Linked DNA regions of Bombyx mori. The protein of the gene in region 1 interacts with the protein of each later gene in a pairwise test. Links are inferred from orthologs where the notes say so. Each region holds a gene or a part of one and is shown in the gene's direction. Other genes may lie near its edges.

The links.
Region 2: the proteins of protein bicaudal D (region 1) and microfibrillar-associated protein 1 interact in binary tests that used the Homo sapiens proteins (3 or more experiments, as listed by UniProt). The link is inferred for Bombyx mori from reciprocal best matches to the Homo sapiens genes BICD2 and MFAP1.

What each region holds. Positions count from the first base shown.
Region 1 is NC_085125.1:2,135,448-2,144,435, forward strand, and holds the end of protein bicaudal D, read left to right. Parts: coding exon 1-84; intron 85-1,006; exon of another isoform or gene 1,007-1,624; intron 1,625-3,316; coding exon 3,317-3,577; intron 3,578-4,295; coding exon 4,296-4,462; intron 4,463-5,422; coding exon 5,423-5,497; 3' UTR 5,498-7,738; downstream 7,739-8,988. UniProt on the Homo sapiens protein: Acts as an adapter protein linking the dynein motor complex to various cargos and converts dynein from a non-processive to a highly processive motor in the presence of dynactin.
Region 2 is NC_085127.1:8,421,141-8,430,649, reverse strand, and holds the start of microfibrillar-associated protein 1, read left to right. Parts: upstream 1-4,422; 5' UTR 4,423-5,505; coding exon 5,506-5,578; intron 5,579-5,746; coding exon 5,747-5,940; intron 5,941-6,087; coding exon 6,088-6,299; intron 6,300-6,628; coding exon 6,629-6,741; intron 6,742-6,934; coding exon 6,935-7,116; intron 7,117-7,893; coding exon 7,894-8,018; intron 8,019-9,499; coding exon 9,500-9,509. Other genes in the region: uncharacterized protein LOC134200914, read left to right, coding at 1-410. UniProt on the Homo sapiens protein: Involved in pre-mRNA splicing as a component of the spliceosome.

The sequences.
Region 1 (8,988 bases):
CCGCCGACACCCTGCTGGACCAGCTCGACCACCTGCGCGCCGCACTCGACACCGCGCTCGGCGCCAGGAGCCGCCAGCCGCGCAGTCAGTACCCACCCCCGCCCCGGGGTGTCCAACCACGCACCTTACATGCGTCTTCTTGTTTTTACCATCGCACCGCCCGCCACCGGAGTAGGGTCCATCCATACTACCTGGAGCCACTGCGGTCATCCACAGTGCGTTTCCAGAGGTATTTTTTGCCACGTACCATTCGGCTATGGAATGAACTCCCCTCCACGGTGTTTCCCGAGCGTTATGACATGTCCTTCTTCAAATGAGGCTTGTGGAGAGTATTAAGCGGTAGGCAGCGGCTTGGCTCTGCCCCTGGCATCGCTGAAGTCCATGGGCGACGGTAACCACTCACCATTAGGTGGGCCGTGTGCACGTCTGCCTACAAGGGCAATAAAACAAAACTTTGCTCTTAACACGTTGACTGCCGTGTAGGTCACCGATGCCCTACGTGGCACACTGAAGCAACTATGTCGATTTCTCTTTGTTTTTCTTACGTATATTCAGTAGACTAGGAAAGACGAATCCGAAGATACTGACAATGAATCTATTTCTAAGATACCTAAAAGACTAAAACATACATTATCAAACAAAAGAAGGCAAAGTTAAGCAATCTAGGCGCTAAGTAACAGAAATCGACATAATCACTTGAGTACGCCGCGTAGGACACCGGTGACCTACATGGCAGTGTATGGGTTAATAATCTTACCGGTGGTAGGACCTCTTGTGAGTCCGCACGGGTAGGTACAACCACCCTGCCTATTCCTGCCGTGAAACAGTAATGCGTTTTGGTTTGAAGGGTGGACAGCTGTTGTAACTATACTGAGACCTTAGAACTTATACCTCAAGGTGGGTGGCGCATTTACGTTGTAGATGTCTATGGGCTCCAGTAACTACTTAACGCCAGGTAGGCTGTGAGCTCGTCCACCCATCTAAGCAATAAAAAAAATATCGACAGGTCCCGTAGCTTCGATTTGTGAAAATCGTTCAAAAAAAGCAAAAGATATTGCCAACATAAAAATAAAAATGGCTGACGAAAGAAAAAAAAGTAATACAAACGTAACTCAATTAATCTGTAACGGAAGGAACGTTAAAGAGCTTACCGATTATTTTGAAAATATCACCGGTCTCCAATCGAACAGAAATTATATCGATACAGCGTTGAAACGTGCGAACTACAAAATCGATTCTAGTTTGAAGCATTCGAATAATTGCTTCGCACAATATAATGCCAAAAAATACGATACTAAATTTAATGGCAAAAGAAAACAGTTTCCCATAGCGAAGTCGCAAATCTCGAATCCAAATTTATCTCAATATCGAAATAAAAATCTCAGTTTGTACTCGATATGGAAAGATAAATTGTACAAGAGAGCATCTTTAGACGATGAGATCGATATTAAGAAAAGCGATCCTAAATCGTACAACTTGAAAGCATTTGTGAAATCGACTGTACTGACGTGCGTTTACGTGCTGCAATACATTCTGTGATCCCGAGCTCGTCCCGCGAAGTATAGTCCGTCAGATGCGGCGTGGCGCCCGGGACAGTTGTCGGCGGGACGTCATTAGGAAATAGGTTTGATATAACAAACCATCTGTCAAACGTATCACGCTGTAGTTAACGAACTATAACTATATAGTGTATTTAGATTTTTAATACGCTTTTATTAGCTTCAGACGTATGTATGTTTGTAACGGAATCTATGAACATGATTTTGACCCCCTTCAAAACGTCGGATTAACTCGAAATTTGGTATACTTATTAAGGACCGATGACAATACAATATTAGAAAAAAATTAAAAAAATTGATATTCAACTAATGAATGAAAAATATATAATAGTTTTAAAATACTAACAAAGCACGCTTTTATAGAAAATCCAACTAAAAAAACAGAAAATAAATTTTAATAAATTTGAATTAAAAATAATATAAGAAAAATGATTTTATTGTAAAAAAGCGTGGGGTGCATGGTATAAGTAGTTATAAATATTTTATAAACAGACATGAGCAGAAGGGTTATTTTGATAATATCCTGAAAAGCACCTCACGCTTTTTTACAATAAAATAATTTTTCTTACACTATTTTTAATTCAAATTTATTAAAATTTATTTTCTATTTTTTAGTTGGATTTTCTATAAAAGCGTGCTTTGTTAGTTTTCTTAAACTATTATTTAAGATAAATTGGGTTGCATCTAAGCAATGTTCTAGTTAGTTAGTGGACAGTTTACAGCTGTAGTGATTGTGTAGTAGAATTATCGATAAAGAAAATAAGACTGACTCGTTGGTGCAATAGTTAACGGCCTTGACTGTCGCGTCGAAGGACGTGGGTTCGATTCCCGCACCGGGAAAACGTTCGTGTGAAGAGCAAATTTGTTTGCTCATTATCTGGGTGCTTATTATCTAACGTCGTCGACTAATTTAGAAGTCGTCGTGGCCTAAAGGATAAGACGTCCGGTGCATTCGTGTTGAAGCGATGTAACGGTGTTCGAATCCCGCAGGCGGGTACCAATGTGGGTGTTTTGTTCCTAGGTATTTATTATTATTTGAAGAATTTTAATAAGGTTCATTTCACCCACTCGTCATTGTTGGGTTTTGAAGATTATATCTCCACGCCCTCACTAGTAACCAAAGATAATACGTGTCTGTGTGTCGTTAACTGCGTGCGGGCCCCGGCAGTCATGTCCCGCAACCCCTTAACTTGTTCTTCACACTGCCCTTCATTCACTCATGTTCATTCTTCATTCGTTCATTCAGTCGTAGAACCTTGTAGATTTTGATCTGAAAAATGAGCACCTACTGCCCATTCTTTATCTCTGTCGTCGCAAAGTGTGCAGTGCCTCGCGTCGCAATGCACACGCCAGGTGTAGTCCACAGCAGTCCGGGCCGAGTCGCCAGCCAGTTCCCCTTATTGAACTGGTGATTTACTGGTGGTAGGACCTCTTGTGAGTCTGCGCGGGTAGGTACCACCGCCCCGCCTATTTCTGCCGTGAAGCAACAATGCGTTTCGGTTTGAAGGGTGGGGCAGCCGTTGTAACTATATTGAGACCTTAGAACTTATATCTCAAGGTGGGTGGCGCATTTACGTTGTAGATGTCTATTGGCTCCAGTAACCACTTAACACCAGGTGGGCTGTGAGCTGGTCCACCCATTTAAGCCAAAAAATAATAATAGTGTAATTCAATTTGACATTGTTTTGCAGAATTCTAATATACCAGCACTTAGTAGTCGTTTTCTCGACCTCATCGAGAGTTTAATGTGCTCGCAGTGATGGAGACCACGGAGGAGCGCGGCGCCGAGCTGGCCGAGCTCCAGGAGCAGGTCATCAAGCTGAAGTCCCTTCTGTCGACCAAGCGCGAGCAGATCGCGACGCTGCGCACCGTGCTCAAGTCCAACAAGAACACGGCCGAGGTGGCGCTCGCGAACCTCAAGTCCAAGTACGAGACGGAGAAGACGATCGTCACGGAGACCATGCTCAAGCTCAGGAACGAGCTGCGCCTGCTCAAGGAGGACGCCGCTACGTTCTCGAGTCAGTACTGGCTTTTTTTTTTTTGCCGTTGTAGGCGATCACTAAATACTTAGAGGCCCGACACGTTGGACTGACCAGATCCGCACTACCCTCGATACCACAGTTCACGATGCTCTACACTCGGCGGCAGATAGAGGGAAATGGCGTGGAATGATCCGGAATAAACTCTTGTTGCGAGGGGGTGGTCACGACCCTCAGTATTGAGGAAACCAAACTAAGAAGAAGAAGGCAGACGAGCATACGGCCCACCTGATGGTGAGTGGTTACTGTCGCCCGTGGACTTCAGCAATGCCAGGGGCAGAGCCAAGCCACTGCCTACCGTTGAAAATGTTTCAAGGTGGTGTCTCAAAGTCAACATTAGTTGGGCTATGAGCTCGTTCACTCATCTTCTTCTATCTATATATAAAAACGAATTGCTGTTCGTTAGTCTCGCTAAAACACGAGAACGGCTGGACCGATTTGGCTAATTTTGGTTTTCAATTATTTGTGGAAGTCCAGAGAAGGTAGGAAGGTAGATAAAAATGAAAATGCTCTGAATTAAATAAAAATAACAATTTTGTTTTTCCTCTGATGTGTCCTCCGTCGGACGGATTCCTTTTGTTTTAAGTTTATGTTATACAAAAGCTTAGGTCTTTTATTTATCGATTGAGGCACTACGAAGTCTGCCGGGTCGGCTAGTGTGAAATAAAATAGCTAGATGTGTGAGCGTCCGTTCCAGGCTTGCGTGCCATGTTCGCGGCGCGCTGCGAGGAGTACGTGACGCAGGTGGACGAGCTGACGCAGGCGCTCTCCGGGGCCGAGGATGAGAAGAAGACCCTCAACCAGCTGCTGCGCCTCGCCGTGCAGCAGAAGCTGGCGCTCACGCAACGGCTCGAGGAGCTGGAGGTAATGGTCCTACTAACTAAATATAATAATAATATTAATTTACTCCACAATACAAATAACTTTCCAATTGACATGTCCTTCTTCAAACGAGGCTTGTGGAGAGTATTAAGCAGTAGGCAGCGGCTTGGCTCTGCTCCTGGCTTTGCTGAAGTCCATGGGCGACGGTAACCACTTACCATCAGGTGGGGCGTACGCTTGTCTGCCTACAAAGGCAACAAAAAAAAATATATGACCTAAATTTCTAATTATATCTAAACAATATTACAATTAATTATACTGACAGTGGAGATAAAAAGGCCGCGGCCCAGCTTTGTGGTAGCTGAAACTATCGCTGCTATTCTGCCGCTGCCTGTAATTTTAATCTATAAAATAATAAACTAAACTAATAAAACTAAAATAATATAGACTAATCTATAAAAAATAATCTAATAATACCTAAATTTAAACATGTGGCATAATCTACAAAATCCCTGCCTCCGCACTTTGTTGCTCAAGTAGAAATTCCCTACAAAAATATTTGAAAGGGTTAACTAACTAAATATAATAATCCGTCGACATCGAGCCAAAGGGTCGGATGTTCAAGGGTGTTTGAGATCATGTCCATCATACGAGCAACACACGCCGCGTCGGACACAACCGTCTAACCTCAGATGTAGGTAACCTGATTTAGGACTGGTGGTAGGACATTTTGTGAGTCCGCGCGGGTAGGTACCACCGCCCTGCCTATTTCTGCCGTGAAGCAGTAATGCATTTCGGTTTGAAGCGTGGGGCAGCCTTAACTTAACCACTTAACACCAGGTGGGCTGTGAGCTCGTCTACCCATCTAAGCAATAAAAAAAACATGTGATCAGACTCGATATGTTCGCGAATGCCGCGTCACGTAAGAGGAACTAGACATATTTGTGGATTGCTGCGTCACCGGTCCGCTGTGACGTCATCTGACAGTGACGTGTGTCGCAGGTGGACCGCGAGATGCGCTCCCGGCGCGTGCCCAAGGCGGGCGGGGTGCGGGGCGGCAGGGGGAGGGACTTCTAGCGACTGCTGGCGCCGGTCAAGGCCGTCGCCGTCCTGCTGCGCCGTCTGCTGCGGACCTAGGGCTCCAGCCTCACCGGCCCGGTCCCCTATTTGTACGTTTTGTAAACTTTTTAATGTAATGTGAATCGCGCCGCACGTCCGGCCCCCGTCGCGGCGCCGGTCCGGGCCTCGTCCGGCGCCGCTGGAACGGTCAAATTGCGGCGGGCTGCCGGACGCGGGCGCGGCGGTCCCCAGCCCGGGGCCGCGCCCGGCCTACCCCTTCCCTTTCCTCGGGACATATTTTCGTATCGATTTCTTCACTCGATATCGCGCGTCGACGCGAATCGATTATTTTTGTAACAGGACCGGTGTATTTTGTTAAGCGAATATTTATTGGCGCCGTTGTGGTCCGCGGTCTCCCCGCGCGCCGGACGGACGCGGCCCCCCGTTACGTCCAAATGTGAAATTTCTAAAGAAAAAGAATCATTATCGTCGACATCCATCCATTGCGTGCGCAAAAAGACTATGTAATCTGTTTACCGGGCGACGCGTCGGTCGCGTCGTCTCTGTCTCGTCCATGTTGTTGTAGTCGTGATGTTTGAGTTTGTTGGTGGATCACTGTGCCGTCCCAGTCGCGTCCATGCTGTCCACGCGCCGGCCGACTCTCCGTCTCTGTCGCACCCCCTCTGTCGGCAGTGTCGACCTCTCGCTCGCACAGCGCTCAACGCATTGCTCACGGAGTCGACCGGCGCATCTATTGATAAGTCGAAATTTAAAAAGTTATTGAATGTTAATGGTTTCGGTTGAGTCGCGCCGGGGCGCCCCGGCCTCCGCCCCCGGCCGCCGCCCCGGCCAGTAGAGTAGCTAGTAGCTCGCGACAGGCAGCTAGCCCGCGACTTGCATTTATTGTTTAACATAGTGTTTGTTAAATTAGACTAATTATTATTATATTAGGTCGTTCTTCGTGTACTTAAAAAGACGAACTTACCCGTTCTATACATAGCTTTAGCGTATCAAGTATTCTGTCCCCTCTACTAAGTATTATCGTTAGCCGTCGGTCCCCCCGCGTGGGGGGCGGCCCCCGACCCGAGCAGCGCGGCTCTGATATGTTTATTGTATTGGTTGTTAGTTTTGTTACTAAAAGTATTACTGCATGTGTTTCCGCATCCGTCTCTTTCTCATTGACATTGTTACATTTAGACTGACATGTTCTTTTACACGGTTTTCTGGTAATATTTATTATTAAAAATAGTTATTTATTTGACTTAAATATTATAAATAGATGTTGTATATTTTTCATTATTAAGAATTAGATAAACTTTTTACTATGTTTCGTGCAATGAAAGAAAAAAATGTTTTTTAGTATATAGTATTATTATGTATAGTACAGATTCAGTATTTTTTTGTTTGTTTATGGTTTACTATCGCTGTTGTCTGCTGTATGGGGTTAGAGCGATTAACCAAATATTATTATTTCCTTTGTGTAACAATTTTTTAGTACACTTATATTTGTGTAGGCATATTATTATTTTATATTGATTAGAAAGAGAACTTAGTGAAGAATTATTGATTTTGTTATTCGAAGATTTTTTTATATAGTATATTATTATCGGTGCGGCGTAGACATGGTCTGTCGGACGAGCGCGCATGAATGTTCCCGGTGCCCTGTCTCTGCTTTCTGCGACCTGTGGTTGTTAACTTTAAAACACCTTGCGAGGGCCGAAAATTAAATATTTATTATCGAATTTAGGGACAATGTTCCGATTAATAATTTAGTGCGTTTTTCGCGAAGATTGAGAACCAGCGATTTGGTAGTTTATCTATGATCAAGGTCCGCGTAGGGTCGCACATCGATGGCCCGACGGACTTCTCAGGCGACGCTTCGTACAGATTACAAGTCTTTTGTAAAAAAAAACGCTTACAGAGCTTTCAGTATGCAATAAGTGTTGTGGGACAACAAATTGTATACGTCACATTCGCACTGTTAAATATTCCAATAGAGCTTAAGTAAAAAACGTTAAAGCTCTTTCACTGCTGCGGAGGGTAGATTGCCCTCAACATGGCCGCCGTCAGTTTCGCGTCAGTATCGCGTCAGTGTTGCGTCAGTATCACGCCAGTGCATCGCGGTGCGAATGTCGCGCGTTGTTATCGGGAACATATCATGGTGGAACGGATTTATTTTTTTGACCCGTCTGAAGGCGCACATGTCACAATGACTGATATAAATCATGTATGAGATATAATAAATTATTATTATATTTATATGTTTTGTTTCAATTACTTTCGATTCAGATTTTAAAATGTATAACTATAAAAGACGTTGATCGATTTTAAGTCCTGTTTTAGAGACGATAAAGATGACTTTACGTACGAAACCTTTTGGCTATCAAAAATTTAGATAAATTCAATGCCAGTTAAATAAACTATGTACCTACTCGTAATTGACTGCATATTACGTATTTTGAAATAAATTAAACTAGTTCTTTTTTTTTTGACTGACTAGGCTTTGTTACGTTACTTCCCACATGAACACTTCCTAAGGTGAGATCGTGGTGGTACGATCGGCTCACCAGGTTTTAAGTGGGTACCAAAGCTCTTGGACATTGCCACGTGAAACCCACCGTCGTCCTTGACACGTGAAGTCAATTACCAATTTAGTCTCAATTGTAGTGTTGGCGCATCCTCTAAAGCAGTACTACTCTTCTGCATTAGTTGAACGAGCTTCTGGTAGTAGTAGTAATAGTATTCCACATGTGACGATATCATTGTACAATTTTAATTGTAATCGATTATTAACCCTATCCAGCTTTCTGTAGATCTTTCTTTACCAATGTATCCATCTTGAAAGAGCTACAAATCAAACATAAGGCTTTCGTCGATTGCGCAATTGCGAATCCTTCATATGTTTGGACATATCATCTGTAATGAAAGCTCATTTGAACGACAAATGGATCAAGGAAGCGTATCTCACAAGGTGGACAGACTTGATTAAGTAATCTACCAAAGTGTTCCCTTACTGAATGTACACGTACCGCCACCAATAGAGAGAGATGGAGAAGAGAGAGGCCTCGCAGAAGCCGCAACCAAGTAATAAGAGATGCATAACCACGACCACTCCGCCGGGAGTGCACGACTGAGAAGAACCTTTCTGTCGCCGACACGCGTTCTCTCATCAACGTATTAAGGTAAGTTAAACAGAGTTTCGTGTATAACATGAATTGAAACCAGGACAATATTTTTAGCTTCATCTTCGAGGACAATGCTATGAATTAAAAAAATATTTATGAAAGTTGAAAGATCGACTCTCCAATCCTTCGGAGAGCCACCGCGACTTGGCTACTGAAACTATGGCGGAAAAAAAACAAAACATATCGTTCGTAAACATTTATTGCTTTGTACATTAATTGGTACATAAATTAAAAATGTATCCTTATAAAAACGTACGTATGTACACAAGATTTATACATAAAACACAGTACTACATACTCATCAACGTGTATTTACTTGAAAGT
Region 2 (9,509 bases), on another chromosome or scaffold:
CTGATATTGTATCCTCTCTCCCAACTAAATCTGTTCCTGGTGGAAATACAGTATTGCCTGGTTCACCATCCTCACGTACAATATCTTATAAAAAAACAGTCTTCACTAAACCCAGAACTCCTCCTCAACACAGTAAAGGTTTTGATCATGTAGCACATGAGTCTCTTGTAAGGGACTACAATATGCCAGAGCCTTCTAATGGATGTGCATTACCATCCTCGTCTAATGCAAATTCACAACAGACAATAGCAGAGTTAATTACTATATTGATCAAATTACTTTCTGAACCCAATTTATCTATACCGTCCCACGCTGCTAATTTAATTCGTACTTATACTAATATTAATAATGGCCAACATGGACAAGTTAGTTCAATGGAATTGCCGCAGTATTATAAACAAAAAGCATGAAATTATACATATTATAAATACTTTTAATCCTTTTATATTTTCTCTATCTGAAACCTGGCTAAAGCCAGATTTTGTATTCAAAATCCCTGGTTATTCGTGCTTAAGAGAAGACAGGGCTGATGGATATGGTGGTGTATGCCTACTCATCAGAAACTCTAGCACCTTTTCTTCCTTCCCTCTCCCTTCACATAGTAACTGCTTTTCTGTCATTGCAGCTATTGTTGATGGTATCTGTTTTGTCTCTATCTATGTCCCTCATCCCTCCTTGCAAATCTTCAATGAAATTAAAAACTTAATTTCAGTTCTTCCTCGGCCTTTCATGATTCTGGGTGATTTCAACTCTCATCACACATCTTGGGGTAGTTCAGTATCTAATAGTTATGGTTATGAATTATTAGATATCTTAGACATGTATAGCCTGTGCATTTTAAACTCGGGTTCTCCTACTCGCCTCACAAAGCCTGGTGAAGTAATTAGTGCCATTGACCTGTCCATTTGTACTCCCCAGTTAGCATCTTCTCTATCTTGGTCTACTTTGTGTTCCACTTATAATAGTGATCACTATCCCATAATCATTTCATTTCCCTGTAAAAAAAAGGATACAATGTGTATTCAAAACTCTCGCCTCAAACACAAAATCATAGACTCTAAATGGAGTCAATACACGTTATTAATAGAAGAGAAAATTAATAATTGCTCAGAAGTTAATGTCATAGATAATAATTATTTCAAAGCTATTTTGTTAGAATCGGCTGATAATGTTTTTCCAAAGAAAAAGCCGCGTAGTAATAAGTTGTCATCTCCACCGTGGTGGGATGAAGAATGTACCAATGCTATACAGAAACGCAAGGCAGCAGAGCGTAATTATCGCAATAATATGTCTATGAAAAACTACGAGGCATTAATGACTATAATGAAAGAGGTTAGAAAACTATTTAAAAAAAAGAAATTTGACGGGTGGAGGAAATTTTGTAGCACTATATCACCTGAAACACATGCTACTGTCATATGGCGAAATATCAAAAGATTTAGATCAGCTGTCAATCCTTCTAACGCATTGTTGCTGCCTATAGAATTAGCAGATCAATTCCTTGATCGTTTGGCTCCTCCTTCTGCTCCACTCAACGATCCTATCCTGTCTTATAAGCAATATAACTCTGATGCCCCTTCTCTAAATCTAACTTTTACGTTAGTGGAGTTAAAAGGTGTATTAAATCACGTCAAAGACAGTGCTCCAGGGGAAGATGGGATTCCATATTCCTTTTTGTCTCACCTTGGCGAAAAAGGATTAAATTACTTTTTAAATTTAATAAATAAAATTTTACTGACAGGTGACATTCCACCGTCATGGCGAAGTCAAATAGTATTGCCATTTTTAAAGCCGTCTAAGGTACAATCTGATATCAAATCATATCGTCCGATAGTTTTGTCATCGGTGATCACAAAAGTTGTTGAACATTTAATTAAAAATCGGCTTGAATGGTATATAGAAAATAACGAATATCTGTCCCAAACTCAGTTTGGATTTCGAAAAGGTAAAAGTGTGGGGGACAATTTAGGCATATTAGTTACGGATATTCGTAATGCTTTCTCAGATAAAAAGTCAGTAGTTGCTGCTTTTTTGGATATTAATTCGGCTTATGATAACGTTCTATTACATATTCTAAAAAGTAAATTAGATAAATTAAAGGTTCCCGATTTTTTAACTAATTCCATTGTAAATCTTCTTTCGGAGAGGAAAATTATTTTAGATGTTGGCGGCCCTTATAAGCCTAGTAGGCTGGTATGGAGAGGTTTGCCACAGGGGTCTGTTCTGAGTCCTTTATTGTACAATATTTATACATATGATCTAGAAGGTTCAGTCGGAGATTCAGCAAGTTTATTACAGTATGCCGATGACTTGGTTATTTATGCCTCTGATATGTCTGTAAGTACTGCTGAACGATATGTTTCCTCCTCTTTATCTTTGCTAAAAATCTGGATGGATGCAAATGGCCTTGATCTGTCTCCCTCAAAAAGTACTGTTGTACTTTTCACCAAATCCCGTACTCCTTGCTCACTTAATATAACATATGATGGGGATATATTACCCATTAGGAATCAAGTTAAGTTCTTAGGAGCTATTCTTGATTCTAAACTAACGGGTCAACCACACTGCGAATTTGTGGTTAGTAAATGTGAGCGAAACTTGAACATGCTGAGATGTCTCGGTGGGGTTTGGTGGGGTGCTCACCCGGCTACACTGAGGTTGGTGTATAATGCTGTCATTAGAAGTGTACTGGATTTTGGGACCTTTTTCTTAGACCCAGGTAATGTGGCTGGCTTTAGAAAACTAGATCTCATACAGTCTAGGGCTTTGAGGATTGTTTCTGGTGCCATGAAATCGAGTCCGGTTAATGCTCTGCAAATAGAATGTTGTGACCCTCCTTTAAACTTAAGACGTCAATATCTGTCCGATAGATTCATTTTTAGAATTGTTCAGTTCCATAATCATCCCCTCATTTCGAAACTAGAGTTTCTTTCTAAAAAAGTACCCTCTTCACATAAACCTTTACCTTGTCTGTTAAAAAGTTTCCTGAAATTCAAACAATTACAAGCCCCAACTCATTCTTTTCAGGTGCTTCCTTTATTTGGCGCTTCTTATGATTCTCTCTTACTTTCTCCAGTGATTTGCTTTTCTCTTGGCATTGAAAAATCTGATTTTAATGCCAATGAAAATTTTAATTGCAATGTCAATAGTAAATGGCCTAACTGGCATCAAATTTATACAGATGCATCTAAACACTCCAGTGGGTGTGTTGGTGTTGGAGTGTATCACAAACAGTACAACATAGTTCAGAAAATTAAATTACCTCCGGAATCATCGGTCTTTACCGGTGAATGTTTTGGACTATTAAAAGCTCTTGAATATGTGCTGTCTTTCAAACTAAAAAAAACCGTTGTATTTACTGATTCCTTAAGTGCATTACAGAGCTTAGCAAAATTTTCACTAAAACTTAACCCTTTTTTTCATGTAATATTTGAATGTAAGAGAAAGCTGTTGCACTGCCAATCACACAACTATTTAGTATCATTTTGTTGGGTACCTAGTCACTGTGGCATATCTGGAAATGTGAAAGCTGACAGTTTGGCCAACAGTGCAACTGTGACCGGTGACGTATACCCGTACAAGAATTTTGGCCATGATCTTGCTGCTTTGCCCGGCATATGCCTCCACAAATCATGGAATATGTGTTGGGAAGAGAGCGGCCGGATTAAGGGTCGTTTCTTGTATGCTATACAGTCTTCCGTTCCCAGGAAGCCATGGTTTGCCAAATTGTCGTTTGGTAAAACCGCCACTTCTACTATAATTCGTATGCGTCTGGGACATAACAGCCTTCCAGTTCATTTGCACAAACTTGGTATCGTAACTAGTACCGCCTGTGAGTGTGGCGAGAGTTATTGTGACCTGAATCATATTTTCTTTGCTTGTTCTTTATATGATCATTCTTCCTTATATACTTCTTTAGTATCTCTCTCTATTCCCCTTCCTACTAATATTTCTTTACTTCTTCGAGATTTTAATCCCCTTGTATATAGTATTTTAAGTAGGTTTATTTTAAATAATAACATTAAACTATAATTTTGATTTATTTTCCCTGTTATATAATTATTCTGATTTTTTTTGTAAATTCAATTCGTTCTAAATCATTTATGTTTTGTTGCGATAAGTTTCCTTCGTTTTTTATTATTTATAAACTGTAAATAAATAAAACGGCGAATTATAAAAACGTTATTACTTGACGCTGGCTAATGCACAAAACGTGCCAGAGCCAAAAATAAAGAAGAAGAAGAAGATATATGAAAAAATTGTGTCCGATTTTTAGGATGAGTGCTCCATAATGAATTTAAATATATTATCATATAGTTATTAGTTTTGGTGTATCTACTTTCTTGAGATCCTATTAAATATGTTATAATTATTATTTTTGTATGGTTTAAGCGGGGTAGCATGATAAAATAAGAAATGTTATATAAGCAATCATATTAAATCGATATCAAAGTCAATAACCCAAAATCCTGGTGGTAGGACCTCTTGTGACTCCGCGCGGGTAGGCACCATCGCCCTGCCTATTTCTGCCGTGAAGCAACAATGCGTTTCGGTTTGAAGGGTGGGGCAGCCGTTGTAACTATACTGAGATCTTAGAACTTATATCTCAAGGTGGGTGGCGCATTTACGTTATAGATGTCCATGGGCTCCAGTAACCACTTAGCACCAGGTGGGCTGTGAGATCGTCCACCATTCAAAGCATTAAAAAAAAACCGGTTGAACTGACGTGACAATGACATTTGGTGCGCTAAGCATGACGGATTTTCGGCCTCATTAGACATTTACGTATATTCATGTTTCATTTTATGTACGCACTGAAATACTGTTATATTGTTTTCCTGCGAGTTACAGTGCTGACTCGTGCTGAGTAAGAACGAGATAGATATATGTTTATGTGTGTGCCTTCAAAATGGGTGTTATTTGTATAAGCAATTGTACGTATAGAAAAATATGTCGTGTCCCTACTATATAGGTCAATGAAACGCACTGAAGTATACTTTAAAGGTTTATGTATAAACAATGTTCTACAGCTTGTCCTGTAGCCATGTATGCAAGCCTCATTAACACACTACACCATCAGTGGTCACTGTTGCAAATAAATTTGCAAAAAGTCTTCAACAGGATTTTTTTTTTATCAAATTACTTTACTTCTTATTTAGTAAATGTGAAAAAGTTATGACTTTCCTCTTCGCTTAAAGCAGTTTCATACAACAGATATGGTTTTAGTTTTAAAACAAAACAGCCTGTATGACCTTTGTTCCTTTGGTCAGGGTATTTGCGTGTTTGAAAAAAATTTGTTGAAGTAATGTCAAATTCTGTATCTTATCTGTGGCTAGTACTAATCATACTAAACGTATCGTTACTGTAATTTAGGATAATAATGGGTAAAATATCTTTTAAACTGAACAAGGCTTTGTGAAATCAAGTAATTTATATTTAATGAAAATTTAATAATTGGGGTCTAGTAGCTACTATCATTGTTTTATAAACGAAAACACTGGCAAGATGAATGTCCTACCAGCACAACCTACAGGCATTCAGAGTACAGCGGGAGCAATTCCGATAAGAAATGAAAAAGGTACGATAATGTATTCCTAAAATGAATTTAAAAAAAAACTGGCTTTCAAACTTCCATTCTATAAAAATAAAGTTAATTGATTCGAAATTTTCACATTAATCAATGCAGCTTAGTTGAAGCATTTCCAAAGTTTTCATTTTATTTTACATAAATTGGCTTCATTTTCAGGTGAGATCTCGATGCAAAAGGTGAAAGTTCAGCGATACATATCTGGAAAAAAGCCTGACTATGCACAAGGAATGTCATCATCTGAGGAATCAGATGAAGAAGATTTTATAGAGCAACAAAGACCTGAACGGAAACAAGTTTTACCTCAAATAATCACCCGCAAAGAAGAACATCATAGCGATTCTGAGAAAGAGGTAACTTATAAAGAGCAACACTAATGAGAAATACTATAAATGGACTGCTCTCTGCAGCTCATCTTAAATTGTACCTCATAACAGAAGTGTCAAGGTTAATTGCATCTTTTTCACTTCATTGTAGAAATGTATAATTTCACTTTTAAGGTTGATGATCCTCGATTACGACGTCTCCGTAATATTGCACAATCACCGCCGCGTAGAGCCGAACACAAGCCTGAAATTATTGATGCAGAACCTGAAGCAGAATCTGAGATCAGTGATCATGACGTGAGGGATAGTTCCGAGAGTGAAGATGAACTGGATGAGGAAGAGATTGAAAGACGCAGACAGGCTCTAAGAGCAAAACTTGCAGCCAGGTAAATGTAGAACATATTAGTTTTTAAATTCACAATAATACAGTGAAATAGATAATTTTAAATGAATTATGCTTTCAAATATAACTCCTGAAAGAGTATATGGGACTCTCCACCCAGCCAAAAGGGAGATTGCTGTAGTTGAAATGTAGTGGTTTTCACATTGTAGTATATATGAGTTCCAAGTGTTTTGAGTTCCTTCACTATGCAATCACTATGCAATAAAAAAGGAAGACATTGTTAGCACAAGTGTTTTTTTAAAAAGGTGCATTACGAACTTAAATATTAAATACGTCTGAATGTAATAAAATTATCAATTTATTAAATGGTAGGGAAGCTGAAAAAGAAGTACTCGGTAGAGATGAAGATGAAGAAATGTTGGAAGGTGACAAAGAGGAAAGCGGCTCATCAGACACAGAGTACACAGACAGTGAAGAAGATACTGGTTAGTATTCAAATTTTATAAAACTTGTAAATATTACTTAGAAGCGTCAAGTAATCCCTTCAAATTAAGCTTCATATTTAGTGGGCTTCTTCTAAATGGAGGTAAGTAAAAGTAAAGAAATTTCAATATTGCATTTCACAGGTTATGCCATCATAGTACACTGCATAATTTATGTATAGTTGGCCTTTTCCAGGGCCAAGGGTGAAACCAGTATTTGTAAGAGCATCGGAGCGTATGACAGTGGCAGAGAGAGAACGTAAAATGAAACAGCAGAAAAGAGAAGAGGCTGAAGCTCGGAAAGAAAAAGAAGAAAGGCGACGGGAAGCCCTTAAATTAGTAGAGGAAACGATTCGGTCTGAACAGCGGGGTGCTCAGGTTTAGTATCAGGTTTTAAAATATAAATTTTATGAAATCAAAATCAATATGTAATAATTGTTTTACTAACGATTGTCGGTAACCTTGTATCATCATCATCATTATCCTGCCCTTCTCCCAGTCACCTGGGGTTGGCGCAACATGTTTTCTCCTTCCATACTCTTCTATCATATACCATTTCTTCGCTCACTCCCCTCCTACCCATATCGTCTTTCACACAATCCATCCATTTCTTCTTAGGTCTACCTCTTCCTCTAAATCCTTCCACATTCATAGTTAACACTCTCATAACAACCTCATTTTCATTCCGTCTCATCACATGTCCATACCATCCCAAACGTGCACTCCTCAGCTTCTCTGTCACAGGTGCCACTTTCAGACTTCCTCTAACATAACCTTGTATATAAAGTCTTAAACATGTTGTTTACATATGAACGTATATAAATGTGGTGTATTGATGCTTCACTTAATATCAAAGTATTAGGAGAAGGCAGGTGGTTCAGTAGGCAGCAGCCGGGGTTCTGCCCCTGACATTGCTGGCCCAGTCCATGGGCGACGGTAAATACTCATCAAGGGGGCCGTATGCTGGTATGCCTACAAGGGCAATAAAAAAAAAGTATATTATGCATCAATAGTCTGTTGACTGCTGAAGTTTTAGATGATTTATATTTTCTTATAAAAACGTTGATTAATAGTGATGCGAAATTACGAATAAAACAAATATTTTTCACACTGTTTTTATTCTTCACAATTTCAATCTTTTAAACATACTTTTAGGGAGAACAAAAAGAAGGGAATATAAATGATGTATGTACAGATGATGAAAATGACGAACTGGAATATGAAGCTTGGAAGTTGCGTGAAATGAAACGTATCAAACGAGATAAAGAAGAAAGGGAAGCGTAAGTTAAAATTATTCATTTGGAAGCTATTTTCTTCTACAGTAGGCGCGCGAGTTCATGTCCGTCCTGAGGAATGCGGTAGTGCTGTGACCTAGTTAATTATGGTGTCGATAATAACTACCGATTTAGTCAATAGCTGTCAATTTGGTTTATTGTAACTAGGTCATTTTGCAAATTATAAAATAAATGTGGTAAGTAATTACTTATTTATTTCTAATAGAGAAAAATATTTTTTAAATTCCAATTCAATTACTATCAGATGAAAAGATAACCGACAGATCAGAGTCCGAATCAGTGTAGGTTTTTTTCTACCTGAACTTGTTGGAAGCGAAGTAGTCGTAGTTTATTCACCATGAAATAACACAATAGCGTTAGCGTAAATTTTTGATATCGATAAGCGCGCGTCACAACTGTCAAAGACAACACTAAACGTCAGACAAACGCGGGGAGGCGGACGGAGGCGGGGCGAGCTGCCCCCCGCGCGTCACCTCTGGCCCCGATGGACACGAACTCGCGCGCACACTGTAGGTTAATTCAACTGTATCTGCTATACGGTAGAACAGTATTCACCATCAATACGCAATGTCGTCAAAGGCCTTTAAGAGATATACTGTAAGATGGGAAGCAGTATTCTCTGAACATTACAGTAGGTAGAGCTAGTGTGCCTGGCTAGAGCAATAAAAGCTAAGTTACTAAGTGAGAATCTGAGGTCCTTAGATTTGCCGAGTATTATTATTAACCCATGGTATATATGAGTCGACTATTATCAAAGCCGGCAATCTGACTTTTGGACAATGATTGGTAAATCAGAAAAACGAATTATTGACTTTGTATTCCATTGGCAGTCACAAAACTCTTCGGAACGACATCTTAGATAAATAACAGGTTAACTATTAACCTTTATTTAATGCAGGTTTTGAACCGTATTCTTTGAAGGAGACGATTATATTCAAATAAATCTGTATTGACATATCAATAAAAATTTTTTGTCCAAATGTACAGATTGCCGCCTTTGATAATAGACGACTCATATGTAGTTAGTACAAGACTTATGCTTCACTCTGTTTTAAAATTAATAGTCGTCTCATATTTCAAATATGAGTTCCACGTTTTGGGTTTTGATTGTGTGAAGTAGATGTTATGCTGATAGGCTGAGATATGCTAAGATTTTATCCACGTAGATGTTATTCTGGCCTAAATTATCTCAGACTGCAGCTGATGTATTTAGTCAATCCCGTGTCAGGACTGCAGCTGATAATGATTTTCTATCAGTGATTGTTATTTGAAATCACAATTTATTTTTTAGATCGCACGATTAAAGAATTCAGTCTCGGAATTTTAATAAAATTAACTATGTTAAAGTTTCACAACGAATAATGTTATATTAAAGAGACTAAAGTTTTAGTCAGTATTAAACATTTTTAATGTATTTTAGTGGCCGTCGATTTTTAGTCAGTGTAACATTTTCATTTTTATTTCAGAGCCGAAAAA